Linked DNA regions of Saccharomyces cerevisiae S288C. The protein of the gene in region 1 binds, or shares a complex with, the protein of each later gene. Each region holds a gene or a part of one and is shown in the gene's direction. Other genes may lie near its edges. The genes, in order: MRPS17, MRP10, MRPS9 and RSM26.

Evidence for each region.
Region 2: MRPS17 (region 1) and MRP10 share a complex: the UniProt entries of both Saccharomyces cerevisiae proteins name them as parts of the mitochondrial small ribosomal subunit.
Region 3: MRPS17 (region 1) and MRPS9 share a complex: the UniProt entries of both Saccharomyces cerevisiae proteins name them as parts of the mitochondrial small ribosomal subunit.
Region 4: MRPS17 (region 1) and RSM26 share a complex: the UniProt entries of both Saccharomyces cerevisiae proteins name them as parts of the mitochondrial small ribosomal subunit.

Annotation. Positions count from the first base shown.
Region 1 is NC_001145.3:635,736-638,719, reverse strand, and holds MRPS17 (mitochondrial 37S ribosomal protein uS17m MRPS17), read left to right. Parts: upstream 1-1,715; coding exon 1,716-2,429; downstream 2,430-2,984. Other genes in the region: GCV2 (glycine decarboxylase subunit P), read right to left, coding at 1-1,220; YMR187C (uncharacterized protein), read left to right, coding at 2,736-2,984. UniProt on the Saccharomyces cerevisiae protein: Component of the mitochondrial ribosome (mitoribosome), a dedicated translation machinery responsible for the synthesis of mitochondrial genome-encoded proteins, including at least some of the essential transmembrane subunits of the mitochondrial respiratory chain.
Region 2 is NC_001136.10:370,430-373,114, forward strand, and holds MRP10 (mitochondrial 37S ribosomal protein mS37 MRP10), read left to right. Parts: upstream 1-1,818; coding exon 1,819-2,106; downstream 2,107-2,685. Other genes in the region: type 2A-related serine/threonine-protein phosphatase SIT4, read left to right, coding at 1-277; NPC2 (sterol transporter), read left to right, coding at 811-1,332; FAD1 (FMN adenylyltransferase), read right to left, coding at 2,259-2,685. UniProt on the Saccharomyces cerevisiae protein: Component of the mitochondrial ribosome (mitoribosome), a dedicated translation machinery responsible for the synthesis of mitochondrial genome-encoded proteins, including at least some of the essential transmembrane subunits of the mitochondrial respiratory chain.
Region 3 is NC_001134.8:533,721-536,675, forward strand, and holds MRPS9 (mitochondrial 37S ribosomal protein uS9m MRPS9), read left to right. Parts: upstream 1-1,539; coding exon 1,540-2,376; downstream 2,377-2,955. Other genes in the region: alcohol dehydrogenase ADH5, read left to right, coding at 42-1,097; RTC2 (cationic amino acid transporter), read left to right, coding at 2,855-2,955. UniProt on the Saccharomyces cerevisiae protein: Component of the mitochondrial ribosome (mitoribosome), a dedicated translation machinery responsible for the synthesis of mitochondrial genome-encoded proteins, including at least some of the essential transmembrane subunits of the mitochondrial respiratory chain.
Region 4 is NC_001142.9:616,442-619,534, forward strand, and holds RSM26 (mitochondrial 37S ribosomal protein mS42 RSM26), read left to right. Parts: upstream 1-1,792; coding exon 1,793-2,593; downstream 2,594-3,093. Other genes in the region: AIM25 (Aim25p), read right to left, coding at 1-893; ESCRT-II subunit protein VPS25, read right to left, coding at 2,716-3,093. UniProt on the Saccharomyces cerevisiae protein: Component of the mitochondrial ribosome (mitoribosome), a dedicated translation machinery responsible for the synthesis of mitochondrial genome-encoded proteins, including at least some of the essential transmembrane subunits of the mitochondrial respiratory chain.

The DNA of each region.
Region 1 (2,984 bases):
GCCAGTAAAGCTTGAGCGGTACATATATTTGAAGTTGCCTTATCACGCTTGATATGTTGTTCTCTTGTTTGGAGGGCCAACCGCAAGGCCGTCTTGCCTAAGCGGTCTTTAGAGATACCGACAATTCTACCTGGAATTTTTCTGTTTAATTTATCAATAACAGCGAAAAAAGCAGCATGAGGACCACCATAACCCATTGGGACACCAAATCGTTGAGAGGAACCCAGGACGATATCAGCACCGTAATGAGCAGGTGGTTTTAGAAGTGTCAAAGCCATTAAATCTGAGGCCACAGAGAGCAAAGACTTGTGAGAGTGTAACGCATCAGATAACTGTTTCATCGAGTCAGGCGGTAAGATTGAACCATCTGTCGCTGGATATTGAACCAAACAACCAGATACGTCGGGGTTCTTTAAAACATCCACAGCTTTCTTGATATCCGAACAGTCAACTTCAATAATTTCAATATTGAACGGCTTGGCTCTGGTGTGAAGGACACTCTTTGTTTGCTGGTGTAATTTTTTATCTATTACGTATTTTAGTTTCTTTTTTCTGGAAATATTGAATGACAAGAGCATAGCTTCTCCAGCCGCTGTACCCTCATCCAACAATGAGGCGTTCGCCACAGGCAAACCAGTCAAATCTGAAACAACCGTTTGAAAGTTTAATAGCGCTTCTAGCCTACCTTGAGAAATTTCGGGTTGATAGGGCGTATAAGAAGTATACCATTCTGGACTTTCTAGCAGGTTTCTTTGTATAACCGGTGGTAAAATCGTACCGTAGTAACCCTTACCTATGAAATTTTTAACTTTATAGTGGTTCTTATTGGCAATCTTTTCTAGATGTTGAAGCATTTCTTGTTCACAGAATCCCTTACTAGGAGCTTCTAGTTTCAAGGGTCTTCTCTTCAAAATATTGGGAGGAACGAGCTCTTCTATAAATGCGTTTAAATCGCTATAACCCATTGTTTTTAACATTTTCTTAACGTCGCTAGGAGAAGGACCTAAATGACGTCTAGCAAAAGTATCTAGCGGTCTATCAATGTTTTTCAAGTCAGGATTGAAAATCCTGCTGTACTGTGTAGACGTTATGTCTGTAGCGGCTGTTTTGAGCAAAATAGATTGAGAATGGAATGATCTAGTCCTCGCTAATGAAACATAATTGGTGCTTGACCTGACAGTAGCCCTACAAAGGAGAGCAGTCACTCTTGTCCTAAGCATGTTATCTTCCTGGTATTAGGAAACGTTTTTCCAATAAACTGTGGTTAGTTGATGGTTAGATCGCGCAGCAATCAATACAGTAAGATTGGTACACACGAGAAAGACTAATTCACTGGAACTTGAAGAGAAGAAAATTGTGCCACTCGAGCCTGCTATATATACATCCATTTATATTCGTTGGAGATCTTTCGACTAGCTTATCAAGGTCCTTCACAGCTCAATGCTGACTTCGATGACTCCTCTGAGAGTCATGACTCCGAAAAGGAGGAGTCTATACCTCAAGAAGAGTCAGAGATGTCGGGTAACGATTCAACCGGGTAACATGATTGTTATTTCATAAGATTAGAATTCTGAAGCAATTTGGGATTGTGCCAAACCAATGCGAGCATCAAACTGTTAGAGGAAATCCACAAATAAGGCCAAACAGAAGTAAACTCAGGGAGTTGAATTCGGGTTAGAGATTTCAAAAGTCAAATCAAGATCAGTTAAACTGTAATGGCTCGCCAAAATTTTTTAGGCTTGGTCGTCTCCCAAGGGAAGATGCAAAAGACGGTTAAAGTACGTGTAGAAACAAAAGTCTTTAATAAGAAAATCAACAAGGAGTTATTTCATAGAAGAGATTATTTAGTGCATGATGAAGGTGAAATATCAAGGGAGGGTGATTTAGTAAGGATAGAAGCGACGAGGCCGCTTTCAAAGAGGAAGTTTTTTGCCATTGCAGAAATTATTAGAAACAAGGGTCAACAATTTGCATTATACGAATCAGAAGCTCAGTTAAGCGTTGCAAAAGAAGAAGCCCAAAAGGCAAAAGAATTTTTGGATAAAAGATCAGTGAGGGAGAATAAACTAAATGAAAAAACAACCCTTTTACGTGATATTAGGACCATCCAAGATGCTTTATCTAGCGGGTCAACGCCGAAAGAGTTATTGGAGATTAAACAAAGGTACGGCATTCAAGATTTTTCACAAGAAACAGTGAGGCAACTTTTACAGTTAGACATCTCTGGATTGGAGGTTAATTTGGAGAAACAAAGAAGTCTCATTGATCGTATTCAAACGCGATTATCCGAATTGTTGTCGAATGATCTAAAATGTGATCAATTTTTGAAGGATCATGGTGTTGAGGATCCTTTGACCTTGAAAAAAAACATCAAAAAAAATTTGTTAAGAAAGCACGTCATGATGGATATGCAACAACCAAGCCAGTAAATAAAAGAAAGAGGAAAGCCGAGTGTCATATTTTCTCAACTAAAGCACTACACTCTGTAAATATATACAACTACAAGACTTCGTTACGTAAATAGTAAAGTGTTATGTTTTGACTTTAAAATATTCTAGTGAAAAGAACGATGTTTTTGATTTTCTATCGTTTAACGCATTTATATATTTTCAGGCAAGTGATATCGAAGATGTGAGTACATCGCTCGTCCCCATCGTCAAAAACAAAAGTAAATAAAAGAGCTCTGCTCTGATTTTACAAACAAGAAAATTCCAAGGAAATAGTCCAAGTTTTATATGACCCCACCTCATTTTTTTTTATCTCTCATAAAAAAAAGATGCATATGCTGGATATGTTTGGAAGAATCCACATATGACTCTACATGGCTACAGCACACGTGCGGTTGCAACTTACAAATTCATAAACGCTGCTATATAAGATGGCTCTATCAAATGCATGTTGAACTTTTTCTTCCGAACACAGTGGACCTACCAAAGGATGCTGATTTACCTATAATCACCTGTTTAAAATGTCTCGTTGATGGG
Region 2 (2,685 bases), on another chromosome or scaffold:
AGTTGCTAGAGAGTTTAACCACGTTAATGGACTGAACCTTATTGCCCGGGCTCACCAACTGGTTATGGAGGGGTTCAAGTACCATTTTCCTGAAAAGGACGTTGTAACCGTGTGGTCCGCGCCAAATTACTGTTATAGATGTGGTAATGTCGCGAGTGTAATGAAGGTCGATGAGGATCTGGAACCTACTTTCAAAATTTTCTCGGCTGTTCCCGATGACTACATAAGAGAATCCACGGCAAACCATAATAATCAAAGAGCCGGCTATTTCTTATAACACGACGGCATGCCCTCCCTAACTCGACGAATAAAAATAATTTTCACAATAAAAAAAAGACTACAAAAATCAGAAACTTTTTCATTACGCCATTTGCTACGATACGATACACAACAAGCACATTCTAAGAGCATTCCATTTACTATGGTCAAAATGACCAAATAAAAAATTAAAAAAAAAAAGAAGGAATGAGAACTAGTAACTACATATTCAACAATTGCAGTTTTCTTTTCCTTTTTGTCCTTGTCCTTTCTTTCCTATTTATATATATATATATATATATATATAATACTACTATGTTATATTACATTATATTATTATCACAATAATTATTACGTTCATCGTGCCGAAACGTCACCTCCCACGGTTTGGATCTATTGAAAGAGGGTGGAATCCCTGATAATAAAAAAACTTTAATCAACACTCGGGAGGGGAAATATAAAAGACTGGCGCTACTTAAAGAGCTGATTCGCCAAGGCAGAAAAGCATAACCATATTAAATCTTCTCCTTCAAAGCTAGCACGCCTTCCAAAATGACCCACAGCTTGAAAGCTCTATTCGCCTTGCTATTTCTTTACACAGCTGCTGTCAATGCGGGTGTGATTGGCATATTCAACGCCCTTCCCCCACCAAACACCAAACCAATTAACGGCGAATCTCCACTTTACCAATGTGACATTCTAGACAAGCAACTTGTGGAAATCAAAGAGGTCAATTTGGACCCTAACCCTCCTGTTCGTGGCGAAAATTTGACTATTTCTGCTAACGGTGAGGTCTTTGAAACTATAGAAGAGGGGGCATATATCGACGTTGAAGTCCGTCTAGGATACATCAGACTGTTATCCCAGACTTTTGATTTGTGTGAAACATTAGAAGATAACGATATCGAAGGCTTATCCTGTCCAATTGAACCGGGTGAATACAACATTAAGAAAATAGTTGAGATCCCAGGCGAGGTTCCACCTGGCAAATATGTTGTTGTAGCAAGAGCTTACACTGAAAAGGATGATCTGATCACTTGCTTAACCGGAGAAGTCATCTTCCCACCAAGGTGATCTGATTCATACAACTCATTGATCCGTGTTTATTTCCCTTCTCGTTCCATGTATTCTTTTCTTTTACCCCATGTTCTCTTCACCCGTTCGAGGCAGGGTTTTTCCTCTTTTTGTTATAACCACCATCTAGTCGAATGTGGTTACTCTTAATATTTTTTTGTCGGCCAATGCTTCAGCGCCTTTGTCAACACCTACTTCTTTTCCATTCCTTTCCTCTAATTAAAAATCATCTATTTAGTGTGTACGTATTAAAAACATGTCATTACATTGATATCTCATTGCAAAATTTCTCCCTTACGCACATCTTTGGTTATTATATATGATGACAGGTTCGTTCTCCGGGTAATGCGGACTTTACATATTAATTCTTTTCCCAGTATTTTAGGCAGAATATAAAAGCTTTGAGGCTTTAAGTGAGACAAAAGTCTTACCATAGCAACACGAGGGCTCGCCGAAACTTCCATCTAAAATAAAGAGTGCCCATTAATGTCCGGAAAACCACCAGTTTATAGATTACCCCCTCTTCCCAGACTAAAAGTGAAGAAACCTATCATTAGGCAAGAAGCGAACAAATGTCTTGTTTTAATGTCAAACTTATTACAATGCTGGTCTTCATATGGTCATATGAGCCCTAAATGTGCTGGCTTAGTAACGGAATTGAAAAGTTGCACTAGTGAAAGTGCCCTCGGCAAAAGAAACAACGTTCAAAAGAGCAATATTAACTATCACGCCGCTAGGCTGTATGATAGGATCAACGGTAAACCCCATGATTAATTTTATATCCAAAAGCAGCAAGAATGAAAACTTGATAATATTAAAGTCATGGCCTTGTATATACAAATTAAATAGTCTCAACGGAAAATATATAAACTTTTAATCTAATAGTAACATCAGCATTTTATTTTCTTTCCTCCGTTAAACCGTACTTAATTCTTGATCCTGCCTGCTCTCTCTAAAGTGTCATCAACCAAATACCAGCCAGGATAGTAATTGTCATGGTATTTGCTGAATCTTTCCTTATCCACCACGGAAATAGGTGACGTGTTTATAGCGGAACTACGTTCGCCTTCTGCGTCCTTGCCAAATGCATGAATGATTTCCCATTCAAAATGCAAGGCTGGATTATTGGAGTCCTTTCTCAAGTGTGGGTTAGGCAATGAGTTGTTAATTCCGCCGATTGATGTGAAACCTTTACCATATAGTCCACAAATTGGCTCATTAGAATACAGTAAGAAACTCCATATATTGGTTAAGTCCCAGTGTAAGAGAGGTTGCAACCTCATAAAATCAGGCCAGTTAGAATCTGTTCTTTGAATAGGCTTTAATGCTTCACCAAATGGGTCTGTGTGTCTA
Region 3 (2,955 bases), on another chromosome or scaffold:
AAGAAAATTATTTAACTACATATCTACAAAATCAAAGCATCATGCCTTCGCAAGTCATTCCTGAAAAACAAAAGGCTATTGTCTTTTATGAGACAGATGGAAAATTGGAATATAAAGACGTCACAGTTCCGGAACCTAAGCCTAACGAAATTTTAGTCCACGTTAAATATTCTGGTGTTTGTCATAGTGACTTGCACGCGTGGCACGGTGATTGGCCATTTCAATTGAAATTTCCATTAATCGGTGGTCACGAAGGTGCTGGTGTTGTTGTTAAGTTGGGATCTAACGTTAAGGGCTGGAAAGTCGGTGATTTTGCAGGTATAAAATGGTTGAATGGGACTTGCATGTCCTGTGAATATTGTGAAGTAGGTAATGAATCTCAATGTCCTTATTTGGATGGTACTGGCTTCACACATGATGGTACTTTTCAAGAATACGCAACTGCCGATGCCGTTCAAGCTGCCCATATTCCACCAAACGTCAATCTTGCTGAAGTTGCCCCAATCTTGTGTGCAGGTATCACTGTTTATAAGGCGTTGAAAAGAGCCAATGTGATACCAGGCCAATGGGTCACTATATCCGGTGCATGCGGTGGCTTGGGTTCTCTGGCAATCCAATACGCCCTTGCTATGGGTTACAGGGTCATTGGTATCGATGGTGGTAATGCCAAGCGAAAGTTATTTGAACAATTAGGCGGAGAAATATTCATCGATTTCACGGAAGAAAAAGACATTGTTGGTGCTATAATAAAGGCCACTAATGGCGGTTCTCATGGAGTTATTAATGTGTCTGTTTCTGAAGCAGCTATCGAGGCTTCTACGAGGTATTGTAGGCCCAATGGTACTGTCGTCCTGGTTGGTATGCCAGCTCATGCTTACTGCAATTCCGATGTTTTCAATCAAGTTGTAAAATCAATCTCCATCGTTGGATCTTGTGTTGGAAATAGAGCTGATACAAGGGAGGCTTTAGATTTCTTCGCCAGAGGTTTGATCAAATCTCCGATCCACTTAGCTGGCCTATCGGATGTTCCTGAAATTTTTGCAAAGATGGAGAAGGGTGAAATTGTTGGTAGATATGTTGTTGAGACTTCTAAATGATCTTTTGTAACGAATTTGATGAATATATTTTTACTTTTTATATAAGCTATTTTGTAGATATTGACTTTTTACGATTTATTTGTAACAATGAGAATTACTCCATTTCTGAACTTCAGTAAATAGCGAGTGATTCTGTACTTTGCGAGAACCGGTGGACATTTGGTATTTTGCCTTACAAGAACAACCTATACAAACGTTTCAATATCTAATTCTTTGTAATCCATTGTTTTACGAGACATATAATGTGATATATAGATGAACTTTACGTATAAAATGATATATTTAAAACTAGCAACTGCGTGCGTAAGACAAACTGAAATAGGCCATTTACGGAAAAGAAATTTAATAATGTCGACTGGAAACTGAAACCAGGAGGAGTAGAAATTGGTTAAATTGATTAGCTAAAATTTACTCGTTGTGGACAGAGTTTGAGCCAAGCGGAATGTTTTCAAGGCTTTCTTTGTTTCGAAGGGCAGCTCTGGCTCCTGCCCCTATGAGAATGTCTTTTAGGACTATTTATCAAAAAACCGAGGATGAATTGCCCAGAAGGATCGTCCCAAAGCTAGCCACATTTTATTCGGCGAATCCTAACCATGAAGATCGTATTAATCGACTCGAAAGACTTCTAAGGAAATACATAAAACTGCCATCTCAGAACAACAATGAAGCACAACAAACAAAAGCTCCTTGGATTTCTTTCGATGAGTACGCTTTAATCGGCGGTGGTACGAAATTAAAGCCTACGCAATATACTCAGCTACTGTATATGTTGAATAAACTTCACAACATTGATCCTCAACTTACTAATGATGAAATCACATCCGAACTATCCCAATATTATAAAAAAAGTTCAATGCTTTCCAATAATATCAAAATCAAAACTTTAGATGAGTTTGGAAGAAGTATAGCCGTTGGAAAAAGGAAAAGTTCCACTGCGAAAGTATTCGTTGTTAGAGGTACAGGTGAGATATTAGTTAATGGTCGACAATTGAATGATTACTTCCTTAAGATGAAAGACAGAGAATCAATCATGTATCCACTTCAAGTGATCGAATCAGTTGGAAAGTACAATATTTTTGCGACAACGTCTGGAGGCGGACCTACGGGTCAGGCTGAATCAATCATGCACGCCATTGCGAAAGCTTTGGTTGTGTTCAATCCATTATTAAAATCCAGACTACATAAAGCTGGCGTCTTAACAAGAGATTACAGGCACGTCGAAAGAAAGAAGCCAGGAAAAAAGAAGGCAAGAAAGATGCCAACATGGGTCAAGAGATAGTCTTAGTGCATCTTGTTACCTCAATTTCGAACGGAAGCGTGCGTGCTCTGAGTTTTTTGACACATGCCAGAAGAAACGTTATATATTTTGCATACAACGCCGCCCAGCATTAGAAGCACAACTCTCGTTCGTTATTCCTGTAAATAAAGTTATATGTATTCGAATATTGCTCAGTTAGTATTTTCTTCTACTTACTGCACATAATACTTCATCTTTTTTTTCCTCTCACCCGCAAAGCAAAGGGGCCTTGCAGCAATGACTCAAATTCCATTGGAAAAAAGAAGGAGATGATAAGATGCAAATCAGAATAGATTTTACTATGACCGTTACATGTAAAAAGAGTCATAATATAAACCATAAATACTACAAATAACACCGGGTTCAGGCATATAAATAAACTATTCTCCTGTAATATCCCACAATATTTTGTTATAACCCAGACGTAATAGCCTCAAGCGAGCATCCCTAAATTTCTGCCATGAAGCTGATCCCAATTATTTTGAATGCTAAGAATCTCAGTGGGATGGCTGGATCCATATCAATATGCTGTTGGATTGTTGTGTTTGTACCACAGATTTA
Region 4 (3,093 bases), on another chromosome or scaffold:
GCTAATAACACGGCCCTTTGATCCAAAGTTAGTACTTGAGAACTTAGCATCTCAGTAGGATAAATATTATCAAAGCATCTCTGCGAATCAAATCTAACAACATAAACACCAGTATCGGTAAACATTTCTCTTCCTAAACCAACCCAATTTCTGTCTACACTCGCCATTATCTTACCATCAGCATCTGTTACAGGAAAATCAAATGATAAGAAAGGTGCATCTATCTTACCAAATTGGTCAAAAGTGGATCCTTCTACTCCATCTTTCTGGAATAATTCGTAACGACGCCTCCAGAGATGCCAGTTCTGAATGGTCTCTCCTACTGTCGTTCCTTCTTTACCGTCGTGATAGTGAGTGGAGTCACTGCCATTATCAACATACGCGGAAGGAGGTATGATAGTCTTTATATGAGAATTGATGAACGAAAAGGGCCTTTTAATCGTCATTATTACATTTCCCCAATTATCAAAGACATCTACCAAAAAAGGACGATGTAGACGATAAAACTGCCGCATTATGGCCTTTGTTATAGAAAAATCTCTTTCCATCATTGATGCTATTTTGTTTCCGTTCACATCCATTATGGCATACCTATTAGCCTGCTCGAAACCTAGAAAAACGTTCATAAATTCTATTTGCCTTTCGATAATAACTGTCGGTTCATTAAGTATCGTAGTAGCTATAGGATCATGTACTTTTATTATCCCGCTATTGCTATTTTCTTTAAATGCTTTTACTGATGGCGCCTTCGTTATTTGGTTCTTTTCACGAATTACTCTCCTAAATGGACCGTTTCTGATTACTTTACCAGAAGAAACCGTTAATGTTTTACTCAGTGTACTGAAATTTCTCATACATGATCGGTAAGTTAGAAATATTGCCGTTCTATGCATGTCGGTGTTATCCTTTATGTTTGACCTTTAATCTTCTTTTGTTTTGTCTTTTTTCATTTCGTACTTTTCAAATCCTTATTGCCGGTAGGCTTACAAACTTGAATGAAGTATATAACGAAGTCAATGAAACCTCTCCCATACTAGGTTCGGAACCTGTTAAGGGGAACAAGACCGCGCACTTGTTATGAAAATTCTTCCTATAACTATATTGAAAGCTATTTTTCCACATCGGCAGACAAACGACTGTCCAGACTTAGTAAAGCTCTTGGTCGATTTTGTACATTGCCTTTCCTTTACAGCTCCAAGATATTATATATATTTTTGACAAGGTAATCAATTGCCCCACAAATCTTCCATATAAAAACCTATATATGCTATTAACCGAATGGCAATTCCCTCTATCTCATATCTCACCTCTACAGTAATCCTTCCGTGGTATCTGGTCTATAGAAATGGGTACTGTTTCATTTAAACGTGTTATCACTTGATCCAATGGTTACCATCTGACTTTGGCATCAATCCCTTCTTAAAAAGTAACCAATCAATGATATGCGATTGTTTATGAAGTCCATTCAACAAACAATGGGAGTTTGGCCGAGTGGTTTAAGGCGTCAGATTTAGGTGGATTTAACCTCTAAAATCTCTGATATCTTCGGATGCAAGGGTTCGAATCCCTTAGCTCTCATTATTTTTTGTATTTTTTTTTTTCACTTCCCATCTTTCCAAGAATCTTAGGAGAGGTGCCGCAGTACTTTTTTGGACTGAGCAAGAAGTATCGCAAAGCATGGAAAAGTAAGAAGGGTATAGCAAAAGTCTTTTCACAATAAGAGGATATTTTGCAGGCAAATTTCTGAAGACCACATAATATCGTCTTCTTGGCGCAACTAAGACGCAGAGAAATGCTTGTTTTCAAAAGGGGTATTCACGTAGTACCTAAACTACCAAATTCTAAGGCCCTACTGCAAAATGGAGTGCCTAATATACTCAGTTCTTCGGGATTCAAGACGGTGTGGTTCGACTACCAGCGATATCTATGTGATAAGCTAACGCTGGCGACAGCGGGACAGTCTTTGGAATCATATTATCCATTTCACATATTGCTGAAAACTGCAGGAAATCCATTACAGTCAAACATCTTCAATTTGGCGTCCTCTATCCATAATAACCATTTATTCGTGGAGAACATTCTACCTTCTGCTGTTGAACATGGCACTAACTCGAACGCCGTTGTGAAGACAGAGCCTTCTAGGCTTTTTTTATCCAAAATCAAAGATTCATTCAACGGCAGCGATTGGGAAGTAGTGAAGGAGGAAATGATTTACCGTGCTGAGAATGAAGTCTTGGGACAAGGCTGGTTATTTCTAGTTGAAAACAATGAGAAAAAACTCTTCATATTAACGAGCAATAATAATGGTACGCCGTATTATTTTCCCAGGAACCAGTCATTTGATTTAAACAGTGCGATATCCATCGATGAATTTGCTACCTTGAAACAAATGAAAGAACTGATAGGAAAGTCTACTAAGTTGAATGGTAAGGTTCAAGACTGGACCATGCCTATAATCTGTGTCAATCTGTGGGATCATGCTTATTTACATGATTATGGCGTTGGTAACCGGTCCAAATACGTGAAGAATGTTCTAGATAACTTGAATTGGTCAGTGGTAAATAATAGGATATTCTCTGGTATATCGAAGTAATGAAAAGAAAGGAAGCGATAGCCTCTTACCCTCATATGTAATTATAAAGGTATCGGGTAGAAGGGGATCTACCAAAATCTTATATACTGTAAATAGTTTTATTTTATCCTCTCGCTCGTGTTTTAAACAACCTTAATGGCAATTACTTTATCATTTTCATCTTTCAGCATTGTGGCCCTATTTCTATCGCATAGGGGCTTCAAACAATAATAGAGCAAGCTTTCGGGCATTCTATGGAACTCCCAATTGACTGTTTCATCACCTTCACTCAATTCGTATAACGTAATGACTTGATTCAGTTTTCCAGAGTCTTCGAACCACTGTAGTATCAAAGAAGCCCAACTGTCTAAGCTCTTCCATAATATAAAATATCTCGTAGTGGTGGTATTGCTGCTTCTCCTACCACTTTGGTCAATCGGTAAGCATTTGCCTTCTTTGGTCATTTGCGACCAAATTTCATCAATAAATACCTGTGATACAGATCTTTGGATGTCCTCATT